7 linked regions of the Xenopus tropicalis genome follow. The protein of the gene in region 4 interacts with the protein of the main gene of each other region in a pairwise test. Links are inferred from orthologs where the notes say so. Each region holds a gene or a part of one and is shown on either strand. Other genes may lie near its edges.

Region 1 (4,109 bases), on a different chromosome or scaffold from region 4:
CTAAGCGAGAAAGGATAAGGGCATGGATTAGTGTTTTAGCTGTTACTTGTGAAAGAAAGGGGCGTATCTTGGCAATATTGCAGAGGAAAAATGGCAGATAACCCCAAGGCAGCGTGCAGAATTAACAGGGTTAACGGTCATGCCATCAATAGTCATGGTGAAAGGAGGAGAAGTGATATTTAAGACCAAAAGAAGAAATAAGGTCTCCTAAAGAGAGAGTGTACAGGGAGAACAGCAAAGGGCCAAGCAAAGGGCCCCACACTGAGCTGAACCCCCACACTGAGCTGAGCCCCCACACTAAGCAGAACCGGGGTAGGGGATTGGTTAGTAAGAGCGACAGAGAAGGAGCGGTTAGAGAGATAGGAAGAGAACCAGGATGCAGCCTGATCCCGGATACCCAGAGAATGGAGACTTTGTATAAGGACTGAATGTGCCCTGACAGTGTCGTGCACCAAATTCACCATATTTTCATTTCCCTTCATGTTTATCAGGCCCACCGGCTGTATCTGAACCCAATGCCTTCCTGATAACATCCTGGGGGGTTGGTTCTAGGGTGGGGCAGGTAAGGCATGTCCCCTGGGGGGGGGAGTAGAGAACTGTACAAAGGGCATATGAGACTAACAGCTGTTAGATATTACCAGTTATACACAAGGGGTCTCCAGCTGTTGCTAAACTGCAACTCCCAGCACCCTACACCCTATAATAGGAAGGTACCGTACTCACCGTGACGCCGTATCTGAGTGCCAAGCCCTGCAGTGTGTCCCCGGGCTGGACCTGGTGCTCCAGTTTGCGGATCCGGGCCGGTGAATAGGGCGACTGGACTAGGCTGCCATAGGAACGGGTCCTGGTTCCATGGAGAAGCCCAGAGTCTCTGTGCCCAGAGTTGGATGCCATGGCTTGTGAGCTCTAAAGGGCAAGTTAACTATACATTGTCTGACTGGGCAGAGGTGGAGGCAGAAGTGGAGGCAGAGATGGAGTCCCTGCAGCCCTCAGTCACATGCTGGGCTACTAATTCAATCAGACTGAAAGAAAAAGGGAGAATTCATTAGTATCACATGACAGCACTGACAGGGGTTTGCCCAAGGGGGTTGGGCTGGGCTAAAAGCTGCCCCAATACCCCCAGCACAGACCCACAGCCCTTCCAGCTGCCCAGCACAGGCAAGTACCCAATAATACACAGCTCACTGCTGGGCAGGGGTGACAGGAGCAAGGCATGCCGGGAGCAGTAGTGCAGCACAGGCTCTGCCCCAGGATTCGCGGCTCTCACGGAACTACAAGTCCCATAATGCCCGGACTCCGCCTCCTCCTCTCCGGAAATAAACTACATTTCCCGTAAGGCCGCAGAAAGGAGTACGGTGGCCGCGCAGGGTTACAGCTCTCAAAGGGGGCGCTACAGGCTGGGCTATGTCGTTTAAACGGGATGGGGATGATCTGAGCCAGCTGAACGTTCTAAAGGTACGGGGTGATACCCATACAGGGGAGGGGAGGGTGTCTGGGGGGGGAAGGGTAGGGTATGGTGTCTAGAGGTGGGGGGAAGGGTGGGGTAGGGAAAGGTAGGGTGCCTGGGGGTGGGGGGAAGGGTAGGGTGTCTGTGGGTGGGTGGGGTAGGGTGCCTGTGGGTGGGGGTAAGGAAGAGTAGGGTGCCTGGGGGTGGGGGTAAGGAAGAGTAGGGTGCCTGGGGGTGGGGGTAGGGAAGGGTAGGGCGCGTGGGGGTAGGGAAGGGTAGGGTGCCTGTGGGTGGGGGTAAGGAAGAGTAGGGTGCCTGGGGGTGGGGGTAAGGAAGGGTAGGGTGCCTGGGGGTGGGGGTAGGGAAGGGTAGGGCGCGTGGGGGTAGGGAAGGGTAGGGCGCGTGGGGGTAGGGAAGGGTAGGGCGCGTGGGGGTAAGGAAGAGTAGGGTGCCTGTGGGTGGGGGTAAGGAAGAGTAGGGTGCCTGTGGGTGGGGGTAAGGAAGAGTAGGGTGCCTGGGGGTGGGGGTAGGGAAGGGTAGGGTGCCTGGGGGTGGGGGTAGGGAAGGGTAGGGTGCCTGGGGGTGGGGGTAGGGAAGGGTAGGGCGCGTGGGGGTAGGGAAGGGTAGGGTGCGTGTGGGTGGGGGTAAGGAAGAGTAGGGTGCCTGTGGGTGGGGGTAAGGAAGAGTAGGGTGCCTGTGGGTGGGGGTAAGGAAGAGTAGGGTGCCTGTGGGTGGGGAAGGGTAAGGTGTCTGTGGTTTTGGTTTGGGGTGTGGGTAGGGTGCCTGTGGCAGAGTAGGGTGCAGTTGTAAGGGGGAAGGGTTAATTTAATATCCCATTTCCTGTCTCCCTACAGAAGAGGCGAGTGGCGGATCTGCTGGCCAGTTACATCCCGGAGGATGAGGCTTTGCTTCTTAAAAATGGCAGGTAAGGGTCTCTCCACTGATTGGTTCCCTCGGTGTGGGCCCCTGGGAGGGCTTGCTTCTATATACCCTTATATTCCGGGGCCCCTGCCTATCCCTCTGTGTAACTGTGTTGTGTATATAACAGCTACGCTTGCACCGTGTGCCATCACCGGCCCGTCTTCAGTACCATCGATATGTTGTCTGTGCACAGAAGCGGGAAGAAGCACTTAGCCGGTAAGTTACTGACTAGAAAAGAGATCCATTTCCTGTCTTATGACTTCATTTCCTCTCCAGATTTCTGACATAACGTCCTGTCTGGCATTTGCGGATCCGAAGACTTGCCTAGGGATGTTCCCCTGTTGATTTATTAATTATTTATTTTTGTATTTATAACTTCCTGTCTGACTTTGTGACTTAACTTCCTGTTATGACTTCATTTCCTGTATGCCATTTTAATGTGGAGCCTGTAGCTACTGGTCTCTGCCCCAATACCAGGTTTTATTCTGTCTCCTCCCCCATTATCTTTCTATACAGGCCCTCTTCTGTTCATATACCAGTTTCTCATTCATTCTGCTGCCTGGTTGCTAAGGTAGTTTGAACCCTAGCAACCACATAGCTGCGGAAAACTGCAAATAATAAAAAATGAAGACCAATTGCAGATTGTCTTAGAATATTCTCTATATCATACTAAAAGTTAACTCAAAGGTGAACATCCCCTTTAATGACTGGTCACATGTCTATAATACATATTTGTGCAATGGGCCGCTGACTCCCTCTCAACTCTCCTACAGGTCAGCAGCGGTATTACGGCAAGAAGCTGGAGCATAACAATGAGATCCAGAAGAGGCGCCATTTTGATTTTGTACAGGCAGAAGATGCAGGAGAACAGGTGGGCAGATTTCTCTTTCTCCAGGCTATTGGCTATTAGGGGGCTGTTCCTGCTGAATTGTGCTTAGTACAGGGGAATCCCTATGTGCCATAGTTTTATGGTATCTCTCTGTACAGGCTATGAGCAAACTTAGGGGGTTGTTCCTGCTGAATTGCGCTTAGTACAGGGGAATCCCTATGTGCCATAGTTTTATGGTATCTCTCTGTACAGGCTATGAGCAAACTTAGGGGGCTGTTCCTGCTGAATTGTGCTTAGTACAGGGGAATCCCTATGTGCCATAGTTTTATGGTATCTCTCTGTACAGGCTATGAGCAAACTTAGGGGGCTGTTCCTGCTGAATTGTGCTTAGTACAGGGGAATCCCTATGTGCCATAGTTTTATGGTATCTCTCTGTACAGGCTATGAGCAAACTTAATGGGCTGTTCCTGCTGAATTGTGCTTAGTACAGGGGAATCCCTATGTGCCATAGTTTTATGGTATCTCTCTGTACAGGCTATGAGCAAACTTAGGGGGCTGTTCCTGCTGAATTGTGCTTAGTACAGGGGAATCCCTATGCTGCCATAGTTTTATGGTATCTCTCTGTACAGGCTATGAGCAAACTTAGGGGGCTGTTCCTGCTGAATTGTGCTTAGTACAGGAGAATCCCTATGTGCCATAGTTTTATGGTATCTCTCTGTACAGGCTATGAGCAAACTTAGGGGGCTGTTCCTGCTGAATTGTGCTTAGTACAGGGGAATCCCTATGTGCCATAGTTTTATGGTATCTCTCTGTACAGGCTATGAGCAAACTTAGGGGGCTGTTCCTGCTGAATTGTGCTTAGTACAGGGGAATCCCTATGCTGCCATAGTTTTGAGTAACTTTTTTTTATTT
Region 2 (3,500 bases), on a different chromosome or scaffold from region 4:
TGCTCTTGTCCAGGTCCTAAGGCAGCAAACTATACTTATTTTACTTTACAGAGGTGGTAAGATCATCTAGAATATGCTGTGCAGTTTTGGTCTCCAGTACTTAAACTGGATATTACTGAATTAGAGAGGGTCCAAAAAAGGGCAACTAAGATGGTTAAAGTAAAACTACACCTCCAGAATGAATACTTAACCAACAGATAGTTTATATCATATTAGGTTCCCTATTAAAGAATCTTACCAAAGTGGAATATAAATAACAGTAAATATTACCCTTTTACAGGTTTTCCCTTGAACCCCCACTTTGTGATGGCCTGTGTGCTCCATCAGAGATCAGATCACATGACAGGAAGTAATGCAGCTCTAACAGGAAGAAGTAATGACAGAACTTTGCCTATTAATTGGCTCATATGACCTAACATGTGTGCCCTTGGTTTGTTTGTGTTCGTAAATCATATGATCCCAGTGGGCGGCCATTAAATGGCAATTTTCTATTAAAGATTACTCAATGACACATACTACTTAAAAAAAACGTATATTTTTATGAAAATTTTTTGAAAATGAAGCAGGGTTATAGAGACCTACATTGTTTGGGGTACAGTTTTCTTAAAGGGTATGGAAGGTCTCTACACTAGAGAAAAGGGAGCTAAAGGGGGGATATGATAAGCATGTATAAAAAATATATAGATATACTAATCTCTAATGCTTTATAAAACAGTGGGTTCTCCCAGCGGAAACAATGGCATCCATTCAGATTAGAAGAAAGGAGGTTTAATCTAAATATTCAAAGGGACAAAGGGAGTAGGAGAGCATAGTAGGAATAACATTTGAGAGACGTTGAGGAAGGCCTAAATGACCTGACTCTAACCTAACGGCACAGTTTGGGCCTACAAGAAAAGGATTTTACGTTAAGTCCAAAATCTCCTTTTCTGTCAGGGCACGTACTAAAGCGGTCCCCTATAGTGTGGGTATTTAGTCCTGGTGGGAAACTGCCACCTGCAGCACCTTATGTCCGTAGGAGGCCTGTGCTCAGGTGGCTACCTGCAAACAGTAAAATTTCAGCCTTATCTGATAAAGCTTACTTAGTTTTTACCTTTTTTTCTCCTTTAAGGACTGGATGAAGCAAGCCCTCCTTTTTGACTAAAAATAAGGCTGAGTAGAATCCCTTGAATCTTTGCTGCAGATGAACCTCTATTATCACTCTGTTTTGTAGTCGCAAATGGCATTCTTGAAAGACTTTGTTTTCGGTGGATTGCTGAAGGTATGAACCTGTACCGAGGAGGTTTGTCTGTGAATGGGTTTCTGTTACCTTCCTGAATTATCGTTAGGACCCTGGGGTCTATAATGTGGTTTGCCATATATCTAAAAATGCACTACCCTGGTGTCATGCTGAAGAAGACTCCACTGTTTCTTGACTGTTGTGACCAGGAATTTTGTCCCTTTCCCTTAGGTCTGTTGGAGGTTTGGTTGTTCTAAATGTCTTTAATGGATAAAAGGAGTGACCTTGTGATGAGCCTCCTCTAGAGCTCTTGGGTGTGATGTAAGTCAAGTCTCAATTTGAAAGAAATGTGCTTTTTCCGCCCGAGACCTCTGAAGTTATTTGCTTAAGGAAAGGGCCAAATAACTACTCTCCTGGAAATTTGAGTCCCAGGAGTCTAGATTTGGGAGCAGTGTCGCCACAGTGCTCTCCTGGCTATCACTATATTGTATGCAGATTGAGCTGCAAATTTAACTCTATCCATGCCAGCCTCAGCTATGAAGTACAACGGTGTACTGATCTTCTGCAATTCTGCCACCATATCCTGATCGGAGACTGGGGGATTTCCAAGCAGTTCCTTGCACCAGAAACTAGCGGTTCAATGGATGCTGTAGCTTGAGAATGTGTGGACGAATGCTTAAGTAGTGTTGTCTCTATTTGTCTGTCCATCAGGTACTTGAAGACGTTGTCATTCTGCTTGTAGGGTGGTATGTTCGGAGAGAGACTATGGAGTCAACTTTTGGTGCCTTGTCCCAGAATTTAACAATTTTTATCAGGAACAGGATACGTGCAGCAGAATCTTTTCATCAGAGTTATCCTGCGGTCTGGTTGTGTCCACTCTGTGTCTATGATCTGTTGGACCACTTTAGATATGGGGAAGGTTCTGGATCTCTTAGGTTGTACTCCCAAAACGTTGCCGGCTTGCTGCTACTGTCCGTCACTCTGTATCTTGTGCAATAATTCTAATGTTTTGAAGGTGTACTCTTACGTGAAGGTTTAGTGGATTGAGCAATAGTAGTTTGTATAATGGATTCTCAGGGGATTCTCAGGGGATGACCGATTTAATCTGACCAGAGTTAAACTGCATTTTCATGTTTTGGACAAAATGAAGACCCCCCCCCCCCCTTTGATCCAAAACCACACTGGGCTATGTCAATTCAAAACATTATTAGTAAATGCCTTACTGAGCGTGCAGACATTATTTCCCCTAAATTTACGCTACTGCTTGATGTAGTTATTGTCTGTCAACAGTCACCTAAAAATGCAGTCAATGGTATAATCTGTGGGGCACAGGTGCACGGGGTATGCAAATTACTGTTTACCGTAGATTATGTTTAGCACTAAAAAACACTATTTTATCCACATATACCATTTACATATCACATGGGGTATAGGCGTTTTTTTAAAAGTCAGGTTAATGCTTTTAATCACATTAGAGACATACCTTGACCAGTCTGACACCTTCGCCCACTTTCGAAGGAAAAGAGGTTAGAGTCATAGCCATAACGCCGTAAACAGAGGTATGGCCATCTCACAGCATCACGCTTTCGGGTGTGAAGGACCAGTTCAGTTTGTGTTAGTTCCATGACCCCTGAGCCCAACTCTGTTCCCTCATCATCCACGTTGGTGACCTGTCAAGACAGAATTACTCATAGTTACATAAAACATAATAATATAATGGGTGAGGCTGTAAAAATGCACATTATATCAACATAAAACTTTTTGTTCAAATAAGACCAGCTTAACTGTTGATGCAGAAAGGTTAAAAAAAAAAAAAAAAACCACAAACACATCACTTATGCGCCAGTATAGTAGAGAAAATTTCAGACTTCACGGTTCATACATTAAATCACTCTTTTCACATATAAAACCTCCTTTTTTCTAATTTCAATGGATGCCTGCCTGCTGGAAGAATCTAAATTTTGTAATATATATTAGAAAGTTGCTTAGAATCAAAGACACAGAGTGGTAATTTTTTTCTCCCCAAGTTTTTTTTTTTTTATTATGCAACATTATATATGTGTCTACAAGCTCTTTCACTAGTATCTTAGCTGGTATACTTACCTTAAATTTTGTGGGATGATCGTCTGGGAGACCATCTCGACAACTGCAGCAGCTTCCCATGATGTCAGCATATCAGGTGACCTCTTAAGGAAAAAAATTAATTGAAATCCAGTATGGAAGACAACAGACCTCAGACCCAATAAACCTCTGAAACCGATTACACTACAATTTGTCAAATACA
Region 3 (3,500 bases), on a different chromosome or scaffold from region 4:
ATGCTGTTTGTAAGCTGTGAAGAAGTTGCTACAATTTGTGACATCAATATTTTAGTCCCTCCTCCCCTGCAAGGATTTAAATGATGCAGAAAGCGAAGAACTGATTTGCAGCTGGATTTTAGCATATGTGCATTTATGTGGTATTTGTTCATACTCTTTCACATATGAAACTGTTCCAGCCCTAGTAAAAGAGCAGCATGGAATAGGAAAAACATAAAGTGGTTGCAGAATGTTGGGAGTTCTAATTCTGTATTTAGAGGCATTTAGGCTCTATTGATTTAAGGGGGACAGAGTGGTCCATGTAATGCAAAGGGTGGTTGTGCTTGTGCTCCTATAACTGCATTGAGTATTTTATTTACATGTATACTCTCCAATAAAGTGAATTGTCAGCAGTTCTGTAAGAGTAATATATTATGATAGCACTTTATATGAATATAAACATGCCCCTGAGTGCTCTCCTCCCAATCCCGAGAAACTTGGACGGATGCAGGGTTTAAATCAGGCAGTTTGGATTGGCAGGGGGCCAGGCCTTAGTATGTAAGGGCCCTGTCCTTATCAGTGAGGTTGCAGCCCTAAGGGAGTGAGATGGGTCATTGTTTAACTCGGAGCACTCTTCCTCCCCTAGCAGAAAGCTATCACTTCTGAGGAGCGAATCCATGTGTTCATTAGTATTTCCCATTATTTTAGTATCTCATTGCTGAAACCTTGTGAGGAAGAGACACCAGGCTGCTTTCTGCAGATGGTTTTCATTGCCCTCTGAACTGAAACATTCTGCAAAACTGCGTGTCTGGCACAAATGCACACGTTTCCATTGGGGTAACTGCAACATTTAATAATTAACTGAGGATTTAATTTCTCTGTGTGTGTTTTTTTATTTGCTGGAAAGCAAATCCACACAGGGGTAACCTTCCGGCAGTGATTTGATGTGTAGGGAAACCTCGTAGAATGAGAGTCATAGCTGTGTCACTGAAGTGAGCATGGGTTGCATTGCTAAACCAAATGTCTGGCGCTGCTCCATGCTCTGATTGTAGCATAGCAAAAAGACTGGCATCTACCTGATGTTAAACTGCCACCTTCTACTGACTCTGAAACATTATTATTATTATTCTTTATTTATTTAGCACCCACATATTGTGCAGCACTTTGCCCCAGTGGGAGAGCTTAAAGTCTAAATCCCCTATCACATTCTCTCACACACACTGTGGTCAATGTAGTGAAATATAGGAAATGTATATCATCTCCCCTCTGTTGACTCTTTGCAGACCTGCAGCCTGTTACATACTGCGAGCCGGCCTTTTGGTGCTCCATCTCCTACTATGAGCTTAACCAACGTGTGGGGGAGACCTTCCACGCTTCCCAACCCTCCATGACAGTGGATGGATTCACCGATCCTTCCAACTCCGAACGTTTCTGCCTGGGACTGTTGTCCAATGTAAATCGGAATGCGGCTGTGGAAATGACACGGAGACACATTGGTAAATCAGAGGTTTACATTGGCTTATGCATCATTGAGAAATTGAGAAACAGTGGATTTCAGTATCTGTTAACTTCACATAAGGTTTCAGGAGTAGTACTTGCTCTTAAGAGTTCATTCCCTTTTGAGCGACACAGATTGTAATCCATAGCAACCAGATAGCAGGTAGCTTTTACTGGCCAGCATTTATACAGATTAGTTGCTATGGGTTAATGAACCTGGGCCAACTTAAGTCTTGTATTACATTTCCCCTTTAGTGTGTAACAGAAATCATGTAATACAGGTGTGGGCAACCTGCGGCCCTCCAGATGTTCAGTTACATTTTCCAGTTCCCCTTCAACAGCCTCCCACTTCCAGCAGAGGGATGCTAGAAGTCGTAATTTTATGGCATCTGGATTGCCCATCCTGGCTCATTTTTCTTGTTATTTTTCAGTCTAACCAAAGTATGTTGTGTGCCGACTGTGTAATCCTCGCCCTTCTTAGGTGAATTACATTTTAGTGGCTGTTTAAAGTTTAAGGCAGATGCATAAAGGCACATATTGTTCTCCCATCACATTGCACCTAGTTTATTATAAATAAAATGTGGGTACCTAATTTTGCATTTTGACTGCATTTGGCTTCAGCCTTTTTTCTATGATGCCACAATTGGAGGAAAAACCTGTACATGTTGTCTTCATTACTTATTGCACCCCACTGGTAAGCTTTGTATTTGTGCACAGACGTGGAGTCAGGGGGCCCGATCACCTTTATTAGGTGCTGTTTGTGGGATAAGCACCACCCTGAGCTTTATGCTGCTGTAAGCCTTCCCCTTTACTTTCTGCAGGAGAAGAAAATCAAGTCTGTAGCCAAAGCAACTGGAAGAATTCTCTCTTCTAGTTATGTCAGCGGTTACCAAAAATTTTCCATTCTGGAGTGAAAGCAGAGGACCTCCCACAATATAAAATCTATTCGGCATGCACAGGAGGTTCTCTGCTTGCGTCCTCTCAGCGGCGAGATCCCCACTTCCCAGATATCCTATACATGCCTTTTAGTAAATGACAGTTGCTCACTATGTAAATATATGTAGTTAAATATAGCTTTCAAAATATCTGCTGTATTAACTGGCCAAGTGGCAGCAGTTTTCATTGTGTTTTTTACATTCAGGCTTGTGCCACCAATGACTTTGGACAGTGTCCATTTCACACACACAGTGCATAAAGTATAGGACATTGTGACCTTGAACTGTTGCATTCTTGTTTTCTTTTATTTAGAGAGAGCTGTCAGAAGAGGGTTTGGGGTGTATTAGCTCATTACTGGAGGGCATATTATAGCTTTGTCTCTGAGTGATCCATAACCGCACCATATGTCTCACTTCCTGCCATGTTTTCCTGTGTACTCATGGGAATGTTTTTGTTTGTAGGGAGAGGCGTGCGGCTGTATTACATCGGAGGGGAAGTGTTTGCTGAGTGCCTCAGTGACAATGCCATATTTGTACAGTCCCCAAATTGTAACCAGCGCTACGGTTGGCATCCTGCCACGGTCTGCAAGATTCCACCAGGTACAGTGTTGTTTTTTCGGAAATACAGAATGTTGTAGACTTTATGTAAGGTCTTGTATAACTCCCCAATAGAAGGCACAACATATCACTCCATGTGTTAACCCAGTTTGCTAAATCGAAAAGAAAAAAAATCTGCTTTTACAGATATCCCTTCCCAAGTTTTTGCACCATTTTGGCCTCTTTTGATGCAATAGTTGCTCTTTCTAGGACTCCAAATGATTTGAATTAGTCTGATTGACATTAGAATATGCTCTCACACCAAATATCATCCTAAATGAGGGTTCAGGCCTAGCTTCCAACAAAATTGAGGACTTAAAACCGTCACCTGAGGGCTCACTCTCTATGAGCTTTAGATTGCCCCAGTTTTCTATTTTCTGCGGCCCCCCATAACTCCCATTTCTTCACACCAACTATAAATTGCTGCCCCACAATCTGGGAACCTGTCACTGTTTTTTTTAATAACTAGGCATGATGCAGTAATGTCTTATG
Region 4 (4,149 bases):
ACAATCTCAACTTTTTGTGTGCAACCATTAAATTGAGTGCTTCAGGAAGCTAGAGTTTGGTTGATTCTCATCTCTCAAAAAACCTGAGCCTTTTCCTCTTGACTAAATGATGGTCCAATATAGAACTATATTGTAATAATGCCTAAATAAGTCTGAGGTGCAGAGAGGAATTTAGTACTGTATTGTTTGCTGTCCTATTACTTTAAACTTTTCTTGATTAAGTTGAGATTTTTACTGTGGCCCAAAATCACATTTACAGTGAGACAGTTGTTTTAGTTAAATAATTTGGTTCATTTAAGGCTGATGGCCCAAAGAGCAAGTTAGTTGTCCGCTGTAGATCTCTGCTACTGCGGGCAACTAATCACTCTGAAATGCCTTTCCAGTGGCAACAATCGGAGTCGATGGAAAGGCCTATGCATTGCTTCGGCTTTCCAAAGTTGCCTGCAGGAGGAAACTTTGTGCGAATTGGGAAAGCCAAAGCGATGCGTAGGCCTTTCCACCAGCGACTCCTATAGTTGCCAGTGGAAAGGCATTTTGGAGCACTTAGTCGTCCGCGGTAGCGAGATCTATCGCGGGCGACTAACTTGCTCCATGGGACATTAGCCTTAGATGTCATTCTGCAAGGCTCCATGTTTTTGTCAGCATTTTGCATTGTTACACCAGTGTGCCATTGGGAAACCGTGTTCATCTAAACATAAACTGATCAGATGCAAATGCTCAGTGCATTGGTGTGAAGGTTGAACAACATGGTGCTGTAGGCCCTTAGTAAACGAGGCCATCAGTGTCTTATCTTTTGCACCCCATAATTACCAAGAACTGAACATCATGTGTGAGTGTCTGGAAGCAAAATCTGTGCAGCCAGGAGTTTGTAGCAGGCCAGAAATGTTGAGGGCCCAGTGGGGCCATAATTACTAAACAATTTCTCCAGAAATTTTGGGTGCCCCTTTAATGAATATGTTGAGGGCTTAGTAACATCTACTTTCACCACTGGTAAAAATTGAATTACTTCAGTTCAGATGATTGTTGTAAAAGCCTTAGATATATACAGAGACAAAAAATATTCTTAAGGGAGATTAAAATAAGGCAGCCTCTAAAAATTAGCGAAATGATGCTCCCACTGAGGTCTGTATAGCAGGGTTCATTGAATGTAACTGATAAGCTTTCATTTTTTCAGGAATTTTAAAATCAGCTAAAAGGACAAGGGATCCTTACATGGGAAATTGAATCATTGAAACTGTGACCTGTAGAGGGAGCCATATATCTGCTTAAGCACAGACGCCATTAAACAAAAGGCTCCTGAGTGGGTAGAGAGCTAGGAGATCGTGTAGTGAAGCAGGGCAGGCCGTAGCCTCAGGGGTGGGGGAGCATTACCGGGTTAGAGATCAAGAAGGGACGAGGCCAAGGGGACAGTAGAGGTCCTGGTTGACAGCACACAGAGCGGCCAGAAGATCATCTGGGGTTTGCGGATCACATATCTGGGCCCAAAGCAGTAGTGCCGGCTGAGAAGCAGAGCGAAGCCTTCCCAAAGTGCACTGAGCCCTTGGATAAAGCGCACAGGAAGCCGGGCCTTGGATACTGAGCCTGTGCGTAGCGCCGTACATACCGGGGCCGGGTGGGATATGATGTTTCCTCAAAGCAGCAGCCGGCACTCGGTGAGAAGGCGAGGGGTAGAACTGAATGTACTACTGTATTATTGTGTGTTATATTTGTATAGAACATGTTCATCTGCTGGAGACGCTAAAAGCAATATGGGGGTAGGATTTTTTTGTTGCAGGAAGTCCTGCCGTTGCAGGAGCCGAAAGGGCTTAGTGTTGTAGTAGAGTTTCAGAATTCTGTTGAATCCATCTTTGCCGTCTAGAGCACTGGTAGCATTGTTATATTTTCGAGGTGATATCCAGTATTACACACTGCTGTGCAATGTGCTGCCTCTTTATAAATACATGTTAAGGACAAGAAATTACTGGAAGGGGCAATGGTAGGCATCCCCTCCCCAATAATTATAATTACTAGCCTCAATCCCCCCCATTGGAGTTGCCTTTGTGCTTAAAATTGCACTGCCCTGGGGCACTATTGTAGGGAGTGCTGCCAGCTTGCTTTCTGTCCATGCAATTCTTACTTCTGCCCTGGGTAATGAGCACATGCTATAGAGCAAAATCAGGACTGAAGCTGCAAGCCAAATATTTTGCTGTATTGCACATGACCCAGAGCAGCAGCAAGGAAGCAAGATGGTGGTGCACCCTAAAATAGTATCCTGGCCACTGTGTTTTTTTTAGTGAAGAGCAGTATTAGCCTGGGGTCCAAGGTAATCACCAGAGGTGCCTGACAAATGTGGCCCTCACCATATTGGCAGTGCATAATTGAGATATTCATGTATCATGTACTGTACCACAGAAAAGTGAGCCTCCAATTGTCAAAATAATGACCAAGCAGTGTTCTAGTTGCTGCCTTCTCCCTTGGAAATGGGATACATATACTTAACAGAAATAGCTAATTATTAGTAATAACTATGCTTGCTGCAGCCATGTATTATGTGCTTAAAGCCTTCCATACACTGAAAGATCCACTCATTTGGTGAAGTCGGCAAACAAGTGAATTATCTTGTGATTTGGCCACCAAGGTTTGTTTGGCTTTATGGCCGCTGATCAGATCATTATAGGGGCCTATACTTGGTTGATTAGGAACTGAGCGTATAAACAACCAAGTGGCCCTTATTTTATGATATTTTCAAACCTGCCCAGCAGATATCTAACTGATATGGCAGCTAATGTTTCCAAAGGTATTTTTAGCTTAACATAATAATACATATTGCATAAGCCATTTAGGTGTAAAGGGGTGAGGTGGCAAACAAAGACAAAAGTTGTTGTAGAACTCTTCTTTTACCCTATTCTACCTCCTGACTCATGGGAACACAATCAAAACAAATTACTAGTCCACTGAGAAGCCCTTTGTATAAATAAACCCCTCCCTGCCCCTTGATGCAACCTGTTAGACTCTGAAATGAGTAGCTCATTATACAGAGGTTTCTCAATGGACTGGTGATCATTAAAGGGGTATACTATGCCTTTAATTTAACCACTAATTAGCCAAGTGTCCTGTGGATTCCATTAAGGCTGCAAATGTTTTCACATGGAATTTCTATTATGATTTTTTTTTCCTTAGGGCTCTTCGCATTTGCCCCAGCAACTCAAATTCACAACCTCAGATTCATGTGATAGAATTAAGGATGAATTTCAACTGCTGCAGGCACAGTATCACAGGTAGGAAATTGCTTCATTTTGACACTGAGGGCCACGCCAATGCACCTTTTGTCTGATGAGGTTTTCAAGCCTGCCGATTGTTATCTAGAATTTACACATGCCAATAAGCTGCCGACTAGGTCGGGAGGAACCAAGTCATCAGCTTTAATCAGCCCCTGTACGGCCACCTTAAGGCTAATGGTGCAGTTAGTCGCCCACTATAGATCTTTGCTACCACAGGCAACTAGCTGTTCCGAAATGCCTTTCCACCTGCAACAATAGGAGTTAGGAGTCGCCAGTGGAAAGTTATACGCATCGCTTTGGCTTGCCAGTGGAAAGGCATTTTGGCACAGTAGTCAGCCATGGTAGCAGAAATCTATTGCAGGTGACTGACTGGCTCCATGCGACATTAGCCAAACACTACATTTTATGTTTTTTATGGCATAGTATTGTTAGGACACATACATGATGACCTGTAGCTAACTTGTTTGACATAAATTTAATATAACCTGGCCCTTAAACATGATATACTGATATTTGGGTCCCTACACTAAAATGCCAGTGTTTAAGAACCCTTATTCTTTTAGTATAAGCAGCTAAGTCTGTACAAGTATGGAACCTGTTACCCAGAATGCTTGGGACTTGAAGCTTTCTGGATAAGGGATCTTTCTGTAACTTGGATCTCCATAGCTTAAGTTCACTAAAGCAAAATTTAAACATTAAATAAACCCAACAGTGTTGTTTTGCCTCCAATAAAGATTAATTATGTCTTTGTTAGGATCAAGTACAAGGTACTGTTTTATTATTACAGAGAAAATGGAAATGGGGCCTATGAGAGATGACCTTACCGTTGTTCGGAGTTTTCTGGATAACAGATTTCCAGATAGCTGAATACCTGTACTGTCCAACTGCA
Region 5 (4,225 bases), on a different chromosome or scaffold from region 4:
CTGGAATCGCTTACCTTGTACCCCGGGCTGGTGCCCCTGTTAGGAGAAAACCGCACCAGCCCGGGGCACCTGTAGCTATGCGCTTCCTCCTTCCGCGTTCCTTAAGCCTTAACTGTGAGTCAGGCGCATGCGCAGTAGAGTGAAAAAGCTGACTTCTCTGTTAAAGTTCAGCTTCTCACTCTACTGCGCATGCAAAGAAGGAAGGAAAAAGCGCTCGCTGCTACCCCAGGCTGGTGCTGTTCTCTCCGTACAGGGGCACCAGCCCGGGGTAAAAGGTAGGCGATTCAAGTCACTTGGGGGTGCCTGATATTTTGGCACCCCCAAGTGTCTTAGCTTTTCCTTCTCCTTTAAAGGAGAACTAAAGCTTAGCAAAGAATTAACCAAGACACGTTACACCAGATGTTTTGCGCTTCTGTACCACATCAATCTATGACAGATAATTATGATAAACAAAATTAATATTCAGTAGATAAAATGCAGCAAGAATCTTTCACAAATGCACATATCACCATTCCTTAGTGTTTAGAGGACAAAAAATAATAGCAAATAATTCTATGAAACGTATAATATTTTCCCATGAAGTACCATAATATTTTTCTCTTTTAAAAAATACAGGTATAGGATCCGTTATCCAGAATTCTCGGGACCAAGGGTATTCCGGATAAGGGGTCTTTCCGTAATTTGGATCTCCATAACTTAAGTCTACTAAAAAATCAATAAAATATTAATTAAACCCAATAGGATTGTTTTGTATCCAATAATGATTATTTATATCTTAGTTGGGATCAAGTACAAGGTACAGTTTTATTACTACAGAGAAAAAGGAAATCAGTTTTAAAATTCTGTATTATTTGATTAAAATGGAGTCTATGGGAGACGGGCTTTCCGGAATTTGGAGCTTTCTGGATAATGGGTTTCCGGATAAGGGATCCCATACCCGTATTTATTTCCTCTGACTCTGAATTCTTGCCCCTTCATACCTTTGGCTCAGGGTGTCCACCTGGAATATCAAGCAGCCCTGGTGCTTCTCCAACTCTGTTGCTTCTCCTCAGCAGCACAAATCGGCCATCACTGCACTGCAAAGCAGCTCCTACTCCCAGTGGCTGGGCTAGGTAAGCCTCTGGGTCTCCATGTTCCCTACCACCTCTCTCCTGCAATGCCTTTGCATTACCCGACCAATTGGTGCCCAAGAAGTCTCTGTACGAGGTAAGAGCAAGATGGAGAGTTAGCCCACCCTGCTCATCCACATCAGACTCGGCAGGCCTTATGTGATCTCCTATTTCTCCAAGCCTGTTCTCCCGGTTGGTCTTCTCTCTTCTTTGATTTAACTCTGCTTTCACAGAATGAAGCCTAAATTTAGCCCCATTGAAGACCCATGGCTGCTTGCTTTTTCGCTCCTCCCATTCCAGCAGAATTTGCTCCTCCAGAGGTGGGGGCAGACAGCGCCGTTGATAGTGAGGTGATAGTTGAGCTCGGACTCTGCGCTGGGGGAGCCCCTCAGGACAAGGGCTGCAGTAAAGGATGGAAATTTCTGGATCCATGGGGGCTGGAGAGTAAATGAAGAAGAGTGTTAGAAGATACATTTACATGTAATGTGCCTCTTATCTGATATTCTAAATAATCATGGGTTGGATTTGAACAAAATGATGACGGAAAACTAACAGATCTATGGACCCAGCCAGGCAGGGGACCAAAAAAATGTTTTAGAGGGCCAGTCACCTAGAACCCTGGGGCCTGTAAGTGGACTATGCAGAACATTAGGCCTTTTATAGCCACTAAATTTATCCAACTACAGTTGCCATCTTTTCTAGACAAAAGCATAATTTTTACTGGCCTATCTCCATTTTACACTGAGGATATAGGATTATGTATAACCCAATAATTCTATAAAACAGCCACTACTAACATATTGAAAACCATAAAATAAAATTATCATACAATGCTGGTTATTTAGATATATTGAGCTGAATTCCTGACAGTTCTCTTTTCACTGGATGCCCTCAAATAAACACCTGAATTATTCTTCCCTGTGTGGTTAAGTTGTGTGCCTAGCACATGTGCAATGTGACAAAGCATTGGGTTTGCCCAATCCCATATCAGTTGCACAGTAGATGTATTTGTTGACCAAATACTTTGTCTGTTGCCCCCCAGTGGTAAGAATTTAAATTTTTTTTAACAGATGAAGGTACACAGCAGGGACAAATGTCAAGGCCTTCGCCTAGCATAGAATATATTTATTTATTTATATGTATTATATGTATTTTTGTAATTTGCAGGCCCCTTTCAGCACGATTGTTCTGCATAGCTAGACACCTTATTCAGTTGAATTCCACCCCCCCCCCACACACACACACACACAAACGCATTATATAGAATTATTTCTATGCAGGCATTGCCTTCTGACATTCCTGTTATTGTGCCCAGATATACATGGTGTAGATACAGCACTAGTCCAATCTGATGTACTGTAGCCAAATCTCACACACACTGTATATTTGCATGAGGAAGTGCTGCATTTCCAGTTCATTCATGTATACACACATACAATTACCAAGTGCCATACCAGTGCCATCTCTCTGGAAATATTCATAGTACCAGTGCCATCTCTCTCTGAAAATATTTACAATACCGGTGCCATCTCTGTAAATATTCACAATACCAGTGCCATCTTACACACTAATTAAATTCCCCATGCATCTGTAAAATACATATCTTAGCCAAAGACCAAGCCATGCCAGCCTCATCTGCCAGCAGTAGCCAGAAATGCCCCAGTGCTAGTCCCACCTCACAGACACAGTACCTTCTCTTTCTCTTATCCGCATGGCTCTCTTTAACAGGTCTGCTTCTGCCTATTCTGATACACTACAGTCATTATATGGCCCTTGCCACACCCCCTTTTCACACATCAACAGGAGTTCAGGAGCGTCACTTCAGGATCCAGTGAAACCAGCCCCTCCCCGGCCCTGACTAATTGGTGCACAATGGGGGGGCGGCATTCTATTATTCCAATGAATTCACTCTCCATTTGTACTCTGTAAAGTATCACAAATCAAATAAAACAGTGTACCTTTCTGTCTGCCAGTCTTTCTATATCCATCTCTATGGAACAGTCTGTGTTGCTCCTATCTATATACTTCCATATTCATATTTTATATACAACAAAAGTATAGATGCATTCTTTGTAATCTCTCCAGCTAAACCTGGTGGTGGAGCTGAGAGGGGGACCCCTTTTCTCAGATTTGCAGTCACCCCTCGGCCACTCTCTGCCCAACACATGTACATTACATTAGCTGTACTGTGCAAGCACTACTCAGGCAGGAGATGAGGCGATTGTTGGTTATTTAGTGCAGAAACATTTACACAGCTATTTACAAAGATTACACATGATACACAACAGTCCCTGCCAAATGGAGCTTACAATATATGGTCTCTTTCACATTCACATGTACTAGGGTCAATTTAACCTGCCTGTACATAACGGGAAACCTGTTAACCAGGAATTCTGAATTACAGGGAGGCCACCCCCCATAGACTCCATGTTAATCAAACAATAACAAAATATCTCCTTTTCTCTGTAATAATAAAACAGTACTTGTACTTGATCCCATCTGAAATATAATTCATCCTTATTGGGGGCAAAATAATACTTTTGGGTTAATTAATGTTTAGTGATTTTTGTACACCTAAGGTATCGAGATCCAACTTAAGTAAAGACCCCTTATCCGGAAAATGCCAGGTTTTGAGCATTCTGGATTGAGAGATAAATGCAACACCCAGAGGGAACCCAGGGAGAACATAAACTCCTTGCAGATAGTACCCAGGCTAAAATTGAACTCCAGCACTGCAAGGGAAAATTGAGGAACTTTTTTTTTTTTTTTTTTACAGGGGTGCCTGGCGATTTCCCATTACACCACTGGTTGGCAGCATATCAGCCTGTGTATAGCACCAGATATCAATTGGTTACATCTGAAAATCTACTCTGATGAGGACCATATCGGAGCATAGATGGCAACCTTACCAAACAAGCAGATCTATCAGTGTGTGGCCAGCTTAGCTCTATTTCAACCCTTTGATAAATATGTGGCGTTCCCATTGGGACCATGTGCTGAGTCAGCAGATCTCAGAGGGAGCTGTAGTGACGCAAAGTCCCTGTCACACCGCATTAGTGCTGAAGTACAATGGGCAGTGAGCATTTGGCTCTGTGCTCCCCCTCCCCTTCCTTGGA
Region 6 (4,083 bases), on a different chromosome or scaffold from region 4:
CCAGCCACAACCCCCCCAACCCCAGCACCAGCCCCAGCCCCAGCCCCAGCGATGCGTCCTAGCGACGTCGCGTGCGCGCCGACGTCACATGCGCGCCGACGTCACGTGCGCACGGGCGCAACCCGGATGTAATTGGATAAAAACTGCAGGAGGCGCGCATACCGGTATAGCGGTATGTTCAAAAATCATATCGTTTTTTTTTCAAAAACCGGTATACCGGTTAAACCGGTATACCGCCCAGCACTACTTAGGTTTACAAAGCGGTCTGCAAATCTTTATCAGCAGTTTTCAAAATTTAAAGGAGAAGGAAAGGCTAGTAAAGAGTTAATCTCAAGCTGCAGGCATACCTTCAGTTGTCTCAATAATGCCCTTAAGTCTCCCCACATTTCTCCTGTTCAGATGATCAGAAGCCAAACAGGAAGAAAAAACCCTAAGCTGTGTAAAGAAAGTTCCCATAATGCCTCACTCCTGCACAGACACCGAGACCACTGAACATGCTCAGTTAGTAAGACTATGAGTCAGCTTCCTGCTGATTGGCTCAGATCCACATTCCTAAGGGGGGTTGTGAGTTCTTAACATTCTTGAGGGAGGGGGGAGAAGGAGAGAGCAGAGAGCTGAAAGCTGCGTGTCTCTGGCACAGGAATTACAGACACAACTAATCTTTTTTCAGAGAAGTCAGTGCAGTGTTTCTGTGAGTACTTATGGCTGTATTTACATAGACCTTTCTGATAAAGCTTACTTAGTTTTTACTTCTCCTTTAAGACTGTCCCCGTAGATAAAGAGCAGTGACTGGGGGGTGAACCTGAAGGCCAAGGTGGGATTTAGGGAAAATGCCTAAATCTTCTCCTAGATCAGTGCTGTGCAACATTTTCTTGGAAAAGTATGGCCACGACCATAATGTGACTAAATGACTAGCGTGTCCCTATAAGATGACGCCTGGGACAGCTAAACTAAGCTGTGTCCAACACAGCTGCTGTATGGTAAATGTCCTGTGTCTACAACAGAGATAGATTCAAGTTCTGGTGGCTCATAAAATAATAATAATAAAAACAGAGTAAGTAAATTTAGAGTTGTTAATGGCTAGATTTAATTATATGCGTCACCTGTAATTAGCACTGACCAGTTGATTATATGTGCTGATTATGAGAGACACAAGTAAATATAAATGTCGATTTACATTTTCGCCGGTGGGATGGCATTTCGGGGAGATTAGTCGCCCGAGACACAGGAGATTTGTTGCGGGCGACTAATCTCCCTGTGTGCCAGAGCCCTTAGAATCCGAACCAAACCACTGAAAAAAGCTACAGATGCAGAATGTGGCCTTCAGATGGACATATACATACACAAACCTGCATTCACAGATATATAGTGCCACATAATGTTTCCCCTACACACACCCCCAACCAAATGATCACGTGACCAGAAGCATGCACCCACAATACTGATCCTGACTCACATTAAATAAAGTGTGCTAACCAACGACGTTCAGCAGGCAGGAAACCCAGCCTGCAAATTACCAGTTTGTAAATTCCACTGATGTAGGTGCTTATTAATAGAAATAGTACTTTTGGCATGGCCACATTCATGTAATTCTTTAGGCTGCCACCTTACACGGTCAACGGTAAAAATGTCACAGAAAAAAGTCACTTTAACTTGTGATCTTCCTCCATTAGAGGTGTCTGTAGCACCTTCCCTAAACTCATCTACACAACTGTGCCCAAGGTCTCTCACACTTCCTCCTGTCTCTCACCTTATTTAAAGACGATGTTAGTGAAACCAAAGGCCTAAAACACATTTTTTTAACCCTACATTAATGTCTATACCAGATAATCTGGTGTTTAAGAATGCCGTTCGGTCACATGACATGGCTTAGTCCTCCCAAATCCCTTCTGGGTATTGGGGACTCAAAATAGGCAAATGGCTCAGCGGAAACAAGATTTTAAAGGAATCCAAATCACCTCACTTGACCTCTGGCCAATGCCATGGCACCTATTGCTCTATGGATGGTCCCACCATTAGAAATAGCCACACAGGAGAGCGCTGGGCAAGCGTATGTAAGAAATAGAATGGCAAAGTTAGTGAATAAAGAGGCCAAAGTGAGTGAGACAGAAAAGGTGGATTTGTATTACTTAGTCATATCAACCAACTACCCTCCTGTGTTTCTCAAAAAATGTCTATATCTTCTATTCCCCCTTTATGGCAGCTTTTAAGACCCTCAAATGAACATGGGGCCCCAATAAATACGCCCTTTATGCCCCAACTGGAGCTGGTCCCCTAATGGGGCGTAATCACTGGCATAACCAGACATCATTGGGCCCACAGGAAAATTGATATTGGGGACCCCCTAAAATTAAATAAGAATAAGCCCTTCACAAACATTCAGTGAAAGTGTTTATGAGCGGCCCACCCGGCCTCAGGAGTCGCACCCCCCCCCCCCCCCCCCCCTTCCTTAATAGTTCCACCCACGGCCCGTACTACCGCCCAATGAGCTGCCGGGGGGCTCCGGCTCCAGTCACACCTGGGGGACACTGAATGGGCACACCTGCCTGGGAAGCACAACAGCGATGGGGGGGGGGGGGAGAACAAAACTGAGTTGTATGGACCTAAGGGAGGATAATAACCACCCTCTGCCTTGCTGCTGGTGGGACAGCCCAAAATAATGTTTCTGTGAAGAGAAGCTGTAAGGGGGACACTTACCTGCCGGCAGGAGAATAACTCGAAGTGGAAGCCCTTCCCGTTAGTTGCTAACTAGTCCTCCCCACAGCTGCCTTCTCCCGACCCGTCTCTTCACAGCACTGACGTCACGGCACGGAGATGGCGCTGACGGAAGACAAAGGCAGTCGCACACTCGGGCAGAGCAGGGGAGAGCACAGGGAGGAGGGGTGGGCGGGGCTAAGGCGGGAGCAGGAAGGAGGGGTGGGCGGGGTTCAAGGCGGGTGACGTCATTTTCCGAAAAGTCGGCCCCGTGACTGTTGCCAAGGGTAACGGGAAGTTGAAGACTCCGGGGTGGGGTGTTGCTATTTTAATATTCCCATTTCCTCCATTCTTGTTTTCATGAGTTAAACACAGAGAACACAGTCATTTGTTAGGAGCTATCCCCTACCTAGCCGGGAAAAAGTGCGACCCCGCCCCCCCAAGATTGTAAAGGGAAATTTATTGTGCCGGGCCCGGCCCCTTTTTCTTCTGGGTTTTTATTGATATGTAATTTGTATGTTTTATACCATTCTGCTATACAGCACTGCAGAGTGTGTTGGCTCTTTGTAAATGTTTATAGTAAAGGGGGAATGAATGTCCATCACTAGGGTTGCAGGCTGGCTAGTAAAAAATATATAATTAATAGGGAAAACAAAAAAATATAGAAAAGCTGGTGTTTTCCCAGAAAAAGTGGGAGCCCTACCCCTCACACGCATTCTAATAATAACAGGACTGACACAGGGCTGATGTGCCTCCCACACTAACCAACATGCAGTGCAGCTTCTCTCTGTCCCAGCTCCTATACCTAGCCCCTATATACAAGCCTGGGGCCCATAACAAATTTACTGGCAACATACTTGTCTGTAAATTTATGATAACTATTCCATCCACCCCAGGCCTGCCTCCCATCAGCCCTTGCAGCTTCCAAAGAGACTAGCTCTACTTACAAAATGGCCTTCCAGTTCAGCCTGACTACCCTCTTGCGCCATAACCCTTTCCCTTTATGTCACATCCCACTCCTTTGTGCCCACCCTGCTCTCTCATAGCTCCGCTCCTGCCATTAAAATAACTCTTCAAAGGTGGCAAAGCTATCATGGATAAGGGTTGCTACCTTTTTCTGTGGCTAGTACTAGCATTTGGGTTGGTGGGCGGGAAGTGACATTTGAGGGTGTTGCAAGGGTCAGGGAAATGGGCAGACTGGGCAGGGGAAAGGTGCATGGAGCCAGTAAAGGTGGTCATACACATGCAGATTGTAGATGCCGATATCGGTCCCTTGGAAATCGGCCAGATATTGATCGGGCAGGTTAAAAAATTCAGTTGGATCAGGGACCGCATCGGCTCGTTGATGCGGTCTGCGAACGGATAGTGCCTAATACAGACGTTATAATT
Region 7 (3,500 bases), on a different chromosome or scaffold from region 4:
GAGCAGTGCGACTGCATATAAAATGCACAATTACCCACCAGGAATGAAGCGGGGACGGCGAATGGCTAAGGGGCTGCTGGGTTTTATTTCCCCTTTACATCTGTCTGAGTGGATGTAGAATCACTTTGTTCTATGGAGGCGGGGCTATCTCAGCCTGCAGCTTCAGCCTACAGTCACACTCCATTGTTCCCCAAGCTGTAGGGCTGCTTTTACTGGCTGAATGGGGGCAGTGACAAAAGGGGGCGGGGCACGATGTAAACAGGGGTATGACAATAGTGTGGGTGATATCAAAGGGGGAGGGGTTACGACAGGATGGAGAGGGGAGATTGGGGAAATGAGAAAGGTTGGATTGGGGCAGGTCGAGGTTAGGTGGGTGGGGCTTAAATGTAGGGATATTACAACCATCCAAAATGGGCAGGTACTGTGGGGAAGTGGGAGGAGTTTGGACAGATCATGGGAGGGGTTTCGGATAGTGGAGCACAAGGGGGGTCAGGGACATTACCATGCATTCTGTTTCTTTGGGGCTCCAATCTACTTGGGGGCAGGGCCTATGGCCCAGGGTGCCCCGGTAGCCAATGGGTTAGTTAATAGAGCCCCATGATTACTAACAGGGCCCTGGGGGAGGGTGCCCCGGTGGCCAATGGGTTAGTTAATAGAGCCCCGTGATTACTAACAGGGCCCTGGGGGAGGGTGCCCCGGTGGCCAATGGGTTAGTTAATAGAGCCCCATGATTACTAACAGGGCCCTGGGGGAGGGTGCCCCGGTGGCCAATGGGTTAGTTAATAGAGCCCCATGATTACTAACAGGGCCCTGGGGGAGGGTGCCCCGGTGGCCAATGGGTTAGTTAATAGAGCCCCGTGATTACTAACAGGGCCCTGGGGGAGGGTGCCCCGGTGGCCAATGGGTTAGTTAATAGAGCCCCATGATTACTAACAGGGCCCTGGGGGAGGGTGCCCCGGTGGCCAATGGGTTAGTTAATACAGCCCCGTGATTACTAACAGGGCCCTGGGGGAGGGTGCCCCGGTGGCCAATGGGTTAGTTAATACAGCCCCGTGATTACTAACAGGGCCCTGGGGGAGGGTGCCCCGGTGGCCAATGGGTTAGTTAATAGAGCCCCGTGATTACTAACAGGGCCCTTTTTGGAGCCAATGGTGCAACTTATTTTATTTTCCCGCAGAGCCCGACGCGTTTGATCACCTGTTTGAGCAGAGTCCCGAAAAAGTCGAGGATGTGAAGAAGGTAATTGGGTATTAATGCAGTAACAGCGGGACGTGGTACTTACCCTTACCTTTATTGTTAAGCGCAACAAGGGGAAGGAGGTCCCTGTCCCGCAGAGCTTACAATCAATATTTCCTATGCATAGCAGTGGGGCGTGTTATTTCATTGCTAAATTTCCTTATATTTCAGGCAATCGTAAACTTTGTGAACAAGCACCTGGCAAACCTGAGCCTGACTGTGACGGACCCCGAGAGCCAGGTATATACTGAGCTAGAACCGGCTGCAACTGATTCTCTGTACTTCCTGCTCCTGGGCTGCTCTCTTTCCCATGGTCAGGGAGGAGGTGGAGCCAAAGTTAAGCCTGACCATGGGAAAGAGAGCAGCCCAGGAGCAGGAAGTACAGAGAATTACAGCTCTGTACCTGGGTAAGTACTGGGGGGAGATTGGATTCACTTACCCGGGGGAGGGTCCTGTCTGACCATGGGAAAGAGAGCAGCCCAGGAGCAGGAAGTACAGAGAATTGTAGCTCTGTACCTGGGTAAGTACTGGGGGGAGATTGGATTCACTTACCGGGGGGGGGGGGTCCTGTCTGACAATGGGAAAGAGAGCAGCCCAGGAGCAGGAAGTACAGAGAATCAGAGCTCTGTACCTGGGTAAGTACTGGGGGGAGATTGGATTCACTTACCCAGGTGGAGGTTCCTGCCTGACCATGGGAAAGAGAGCAGCCCAGGAGCAGGAAGTACAGAGAATCAGAGCTCTGTACCTGGGTAAGTACTGGGGGGAGATTGGATTCACTTACCCAGGGGGAGGTTCCTGTCTGACCATGGGAAAGAGAGCAGCCCAGGAGCAGGAAGTACAGAGAATCACAGCTCTGTACCTGGGTAAGTACTGGGAGGAGATTGGATTCACTTACCCAGGGGGGGGGGGGTGTCCTGTCTGACCATGGGAAAGAGAGCAGCCCAGGAGCAGGAAGTACAGAGAATCAGAGCTCTGTACCTGGGTAAGTACTGGGGGGAGATTGGATTCACTTACCCAGGGGGGTTCCTGCCTGACCATGGGAAAGAGAGCAGCCCAGGAGCAGGAAGTACAGAGAATCAGAGCTCTGTACCTGGGTAAGTACTGGGGGGAGATTAGATTCACTTACCCAGGGGGAGGTTCCTGCCTGACCATGGGAAAGAGAGCAGCCCAGGAGCAGGAAGTACAGAGAATCAGAGCTCTGTACCTGGGTAAGTACTGGGGGGAGATTGGATTCACTTACCCAGGGGGAGGTTCCTGTCTGACCATGGGAAAGAGAGCAGCCCAGGAGCAGGAAGTACAGAGAATCAGAGCTCTGTACCTGGGTAAGTACTGGGGGGAGATTGGATTCACTTACCCAGGGGGAGGTTCCTGCCTGACCATGGGAAAGAGAGCAGCCCAGGAACAGGAAGTACAGAGAATCAGAGTTCTGTACCTGGGTAAGTACTGGGGGGAGATTGGATTCACTTACCCAGAGGGGGGAGGTTCCTGCCTGACCATGGGAAAGAGAGCAGCCCAGGAGCAGGAAGTACAGAGAATCAGAGCTCTGTACCTGGGTAAGTACTGGGGGGGAGATTGGATTCACTTACCCAGAGGGGGGAGGTTCCTGCCTGACCATGGGAAAGAGAGCAGCCCAGGAGCAGGAAGTACAGAGAATCAGAGCTCTGTACCTGGGTAAGTACTGGGGGGAGATTGGATTCACTTACCCAGGGGGGTTCCTGCCTGACCATGGGAAAGAGAGCAGCCCAGGAGCAGGAAGTACAGAGAATCAGAGCTCTGTACCTGGGTAAGTACTGGGGGGAGATTGGATTTACTAGAAACATAGAAATGGATCATACTGCGACTCGCTGACAATAGAAGAATAATGGGGGGGTAGGAGAGGACGGTTGCCCGTAGCTTTAAATAACCATGTGATTTCCCCGGATAACGTTCCCCTTTCCCGGAGTCGGCTGTCAGGGTGCGGGGAGTAGATAATCTGTGGGAATGTAGGCCATAACGTCTCCATGGTGCTTGTCGCCAGCGCCGGCCCTAGAGGAGCCTGAATATATAATGTACCTTATGATAAATTGCAGGGAAAGCTAATGGGTCGGGCCCGGCAGCGACATCCCCATTGGCCCGAGCGCCGGTTCCCTAAGATTCATACAAACTGAATATATAAATACATTTAAAGCAGCTGTCAAATTACCCCAGTTTATATAATGGGCTGGCTTGGAACTAGGGGTGTGGCCTGGGAATAACAGGGTGGGGCCAAAATGGGAGACTGAACT

Evidence for each region.
Region 1: the proteins of tle5 (region 4) and scnm1 interact in binary tests that used the Homo sapiens proteins (3 or more experiments, as listed by UniProt). The two-hybrid records come from large-scale screens. The link is inferred for Xenopus tropicalis from reciprocal best matches to the Homo sapiens genes TLE5 and SCNM1.
Region 2: the proteins of tle5 (region 4) and frs3 interact in binary tests that used the Homo sapiens proteins (3 or more experiments, as listed by UniProt). The two-hybrid records come from large-scale screens. The link is inferred for Xenopus tropicalis from reciprocal best matches to the Homo sapiens genes TLE5 and FRS3.
Region 3: the proteins of tle5 (region 4) and smad3 interact in binary tests that used the Homo sapiens proteins (3 or more experiments, as listed by UniProt). The two-hybrid records come from large-scale screens. The link is inferred for Xenopus tropicalis from reciprocal best matches to the Homo sapiens genes TLE5 and SMAD3.
Region 5: the proteins of tle5 (region 4) and nudt22 interact in binary tests that used the Homo sapiens proteins (3 or more experiments, as listed by UniProt). The two-hybrid records come from large-scale screens. The link is inferred for Xenopus tropicalis from reciprocal best matches to the Homo sapiens genes TLE5 and NUDT22.
Region 6: the proteins of tle5 (region 4) and sdcbp interact in binary tests that used the Homo sapiens proteins (3 or more experiments, as listed by UniProt). The two-hybrid records come from large-scale screens. The link is inferred for Xenopus tropicalis from reciprocal best matches to the Homo sapiens genes TLE5 and SDCBP.
Region 7: the proteins of tle5 (region 4) and parvg interact in binary tests that used the Homo sapiens proteins (3 or more experiments, as listed by UniProt). The two-hybrid records come from large-scale screens. The link is inferred for Xenopus tropicalis from reciprocal best matches to the Homo sapiens genes TLE5 and PARVG.

The regions. Positions count from the first base shown.
Region 1 is NC_030684.2:137,909,132-137,913,240, forward strand, and holds the start of scnm1 (sodium channel modifier 1), read left to right. Parts: upstream 1-1,309; 5' UTR 1,310-1,404; coding exon 1,405-1,455; intron 1,456-2,301; coding exon 2,302-2,372; intron 2,373-2,495; coding exon 2,496-2,584; intron 2,585-3,141; coding exon 3,142-3,239; intron 3,240-4,109. Other genes in the region: lysmd1 (lysM and putative peptidoglycan-binding domain-containing protein 1), read right to left, coding at 724-894. UniProt on the Homo sapiens protein: As a component of the minor spliceosome, involved in the splicing of U12-type introns in pre-mRNAs. Plays a role in the regulation of primary cilia length and Hedgehog signaling.
Region 2 is NC_030678.2:70,891,270-70,894,769, reverse strand, and holds part of frs3 (fibroblast growth factor receptor substrate 3), read right to left. Parts: intron 3,403-3,500; 5' UTR 3,380-3,402; coding exon 3,320-3,379; intron 2,887-3,319; coding exon 2,700-2,886; intron 1-2,699. UniProt on the Homo sapiens protein: Adapter protein that links FGF and NGF receptors to downstream signaling pathways. Involved in the activation of MAP kinases. Down-regulates ERK2 signaling by interfering with the phosphorylation and nuclear translocation of ERK2.
Region 3 is NC_030679.2:117,414,539-117,418,038, forward strand, and holds part of smad3 (mothers against decapentaplegic homolog 3), read left to right. Parts: intron 1-1,262; coding exon 1,263-1,475; intron 1,476-2,873; coding exon 2,874-3,011; intron 3,012-3,500. UniProt on the Homo sapiens protein: Receptor-regulated SMAD (R-SMAD) that is an intracellular signal transducer and transcriptional modulator activated by TGF-beta (transforming growth factor) and activin type 1 receptor kinases.
Region 4 is NC_030677.2:114,622,611-114,626,759, reverse strand, and holds the start of tle5 (amino-terminal enhancer of split), read left to right. Parts: upstream 1-1,349; 5' UTR 1,350-1,619; coding exon 1,620-1,652; intron 1,653-3,159; coding exon 3,160-3,257; intron 3,258-4,149. UniProt on the Homo sapiens protein: Transcriptional corepressor. Acts as a dominant repressor towards other family members. Inhibits NF-kappa-B-regulated gene expression. May be required for the initiation and maintenance of the differentiated state.
Region 5 is NC_030680.2:35,524,990-35,529,214, forward strand, and holds the start of nudt22 (nucleoside diphosphate-linked moiety X motif 22), read right to left. Parts: upstream 2,801-4,225; 5' UTR 2,785-2,800; intron 1,547-2,784; coding exon of another isoform or gene 1,542-1,546; coding exon 981-1,541; intron 1-980. UniProt on the Homo sapiens protein: Hydrolyzes UDP-glucose to glucose 1-phosphate and UMP and UDP-galactose to galactose 1-phosphate and UMP. Preferred substrate is UDP-glucose.
Region 6 is NC_030682.2:116,370,505-116,374,587, reverse strand, and holds the start of sdcbp (syntenin-1), read right to left. Parts: upstream 2,801-4,083; 5' UTR 2,698-2,800; intron 1-2,697. UniProt on the Homo sapiens protein: Multifunctional adapter protein involved in diverse array of functions including trafficking of transmembrane proteins, neuro and immunomodulation, exosome biogenesis, and tumorigenesis.
Region 7 is NC_030679.2:4,331,979-4,335,478, reverse strand, and holds part of parvg (gamma-parvin), read left to right. Parts: intron 1-1,177; coding exon 1,178-1,239; intron 1,240-1,407; coding exon 1,408-1,476; intron 1,477-3,500. UniProt on the Homo sapiens protein: Plays a role with ILK in promoting the cell adhesion and spreading of leukocytes.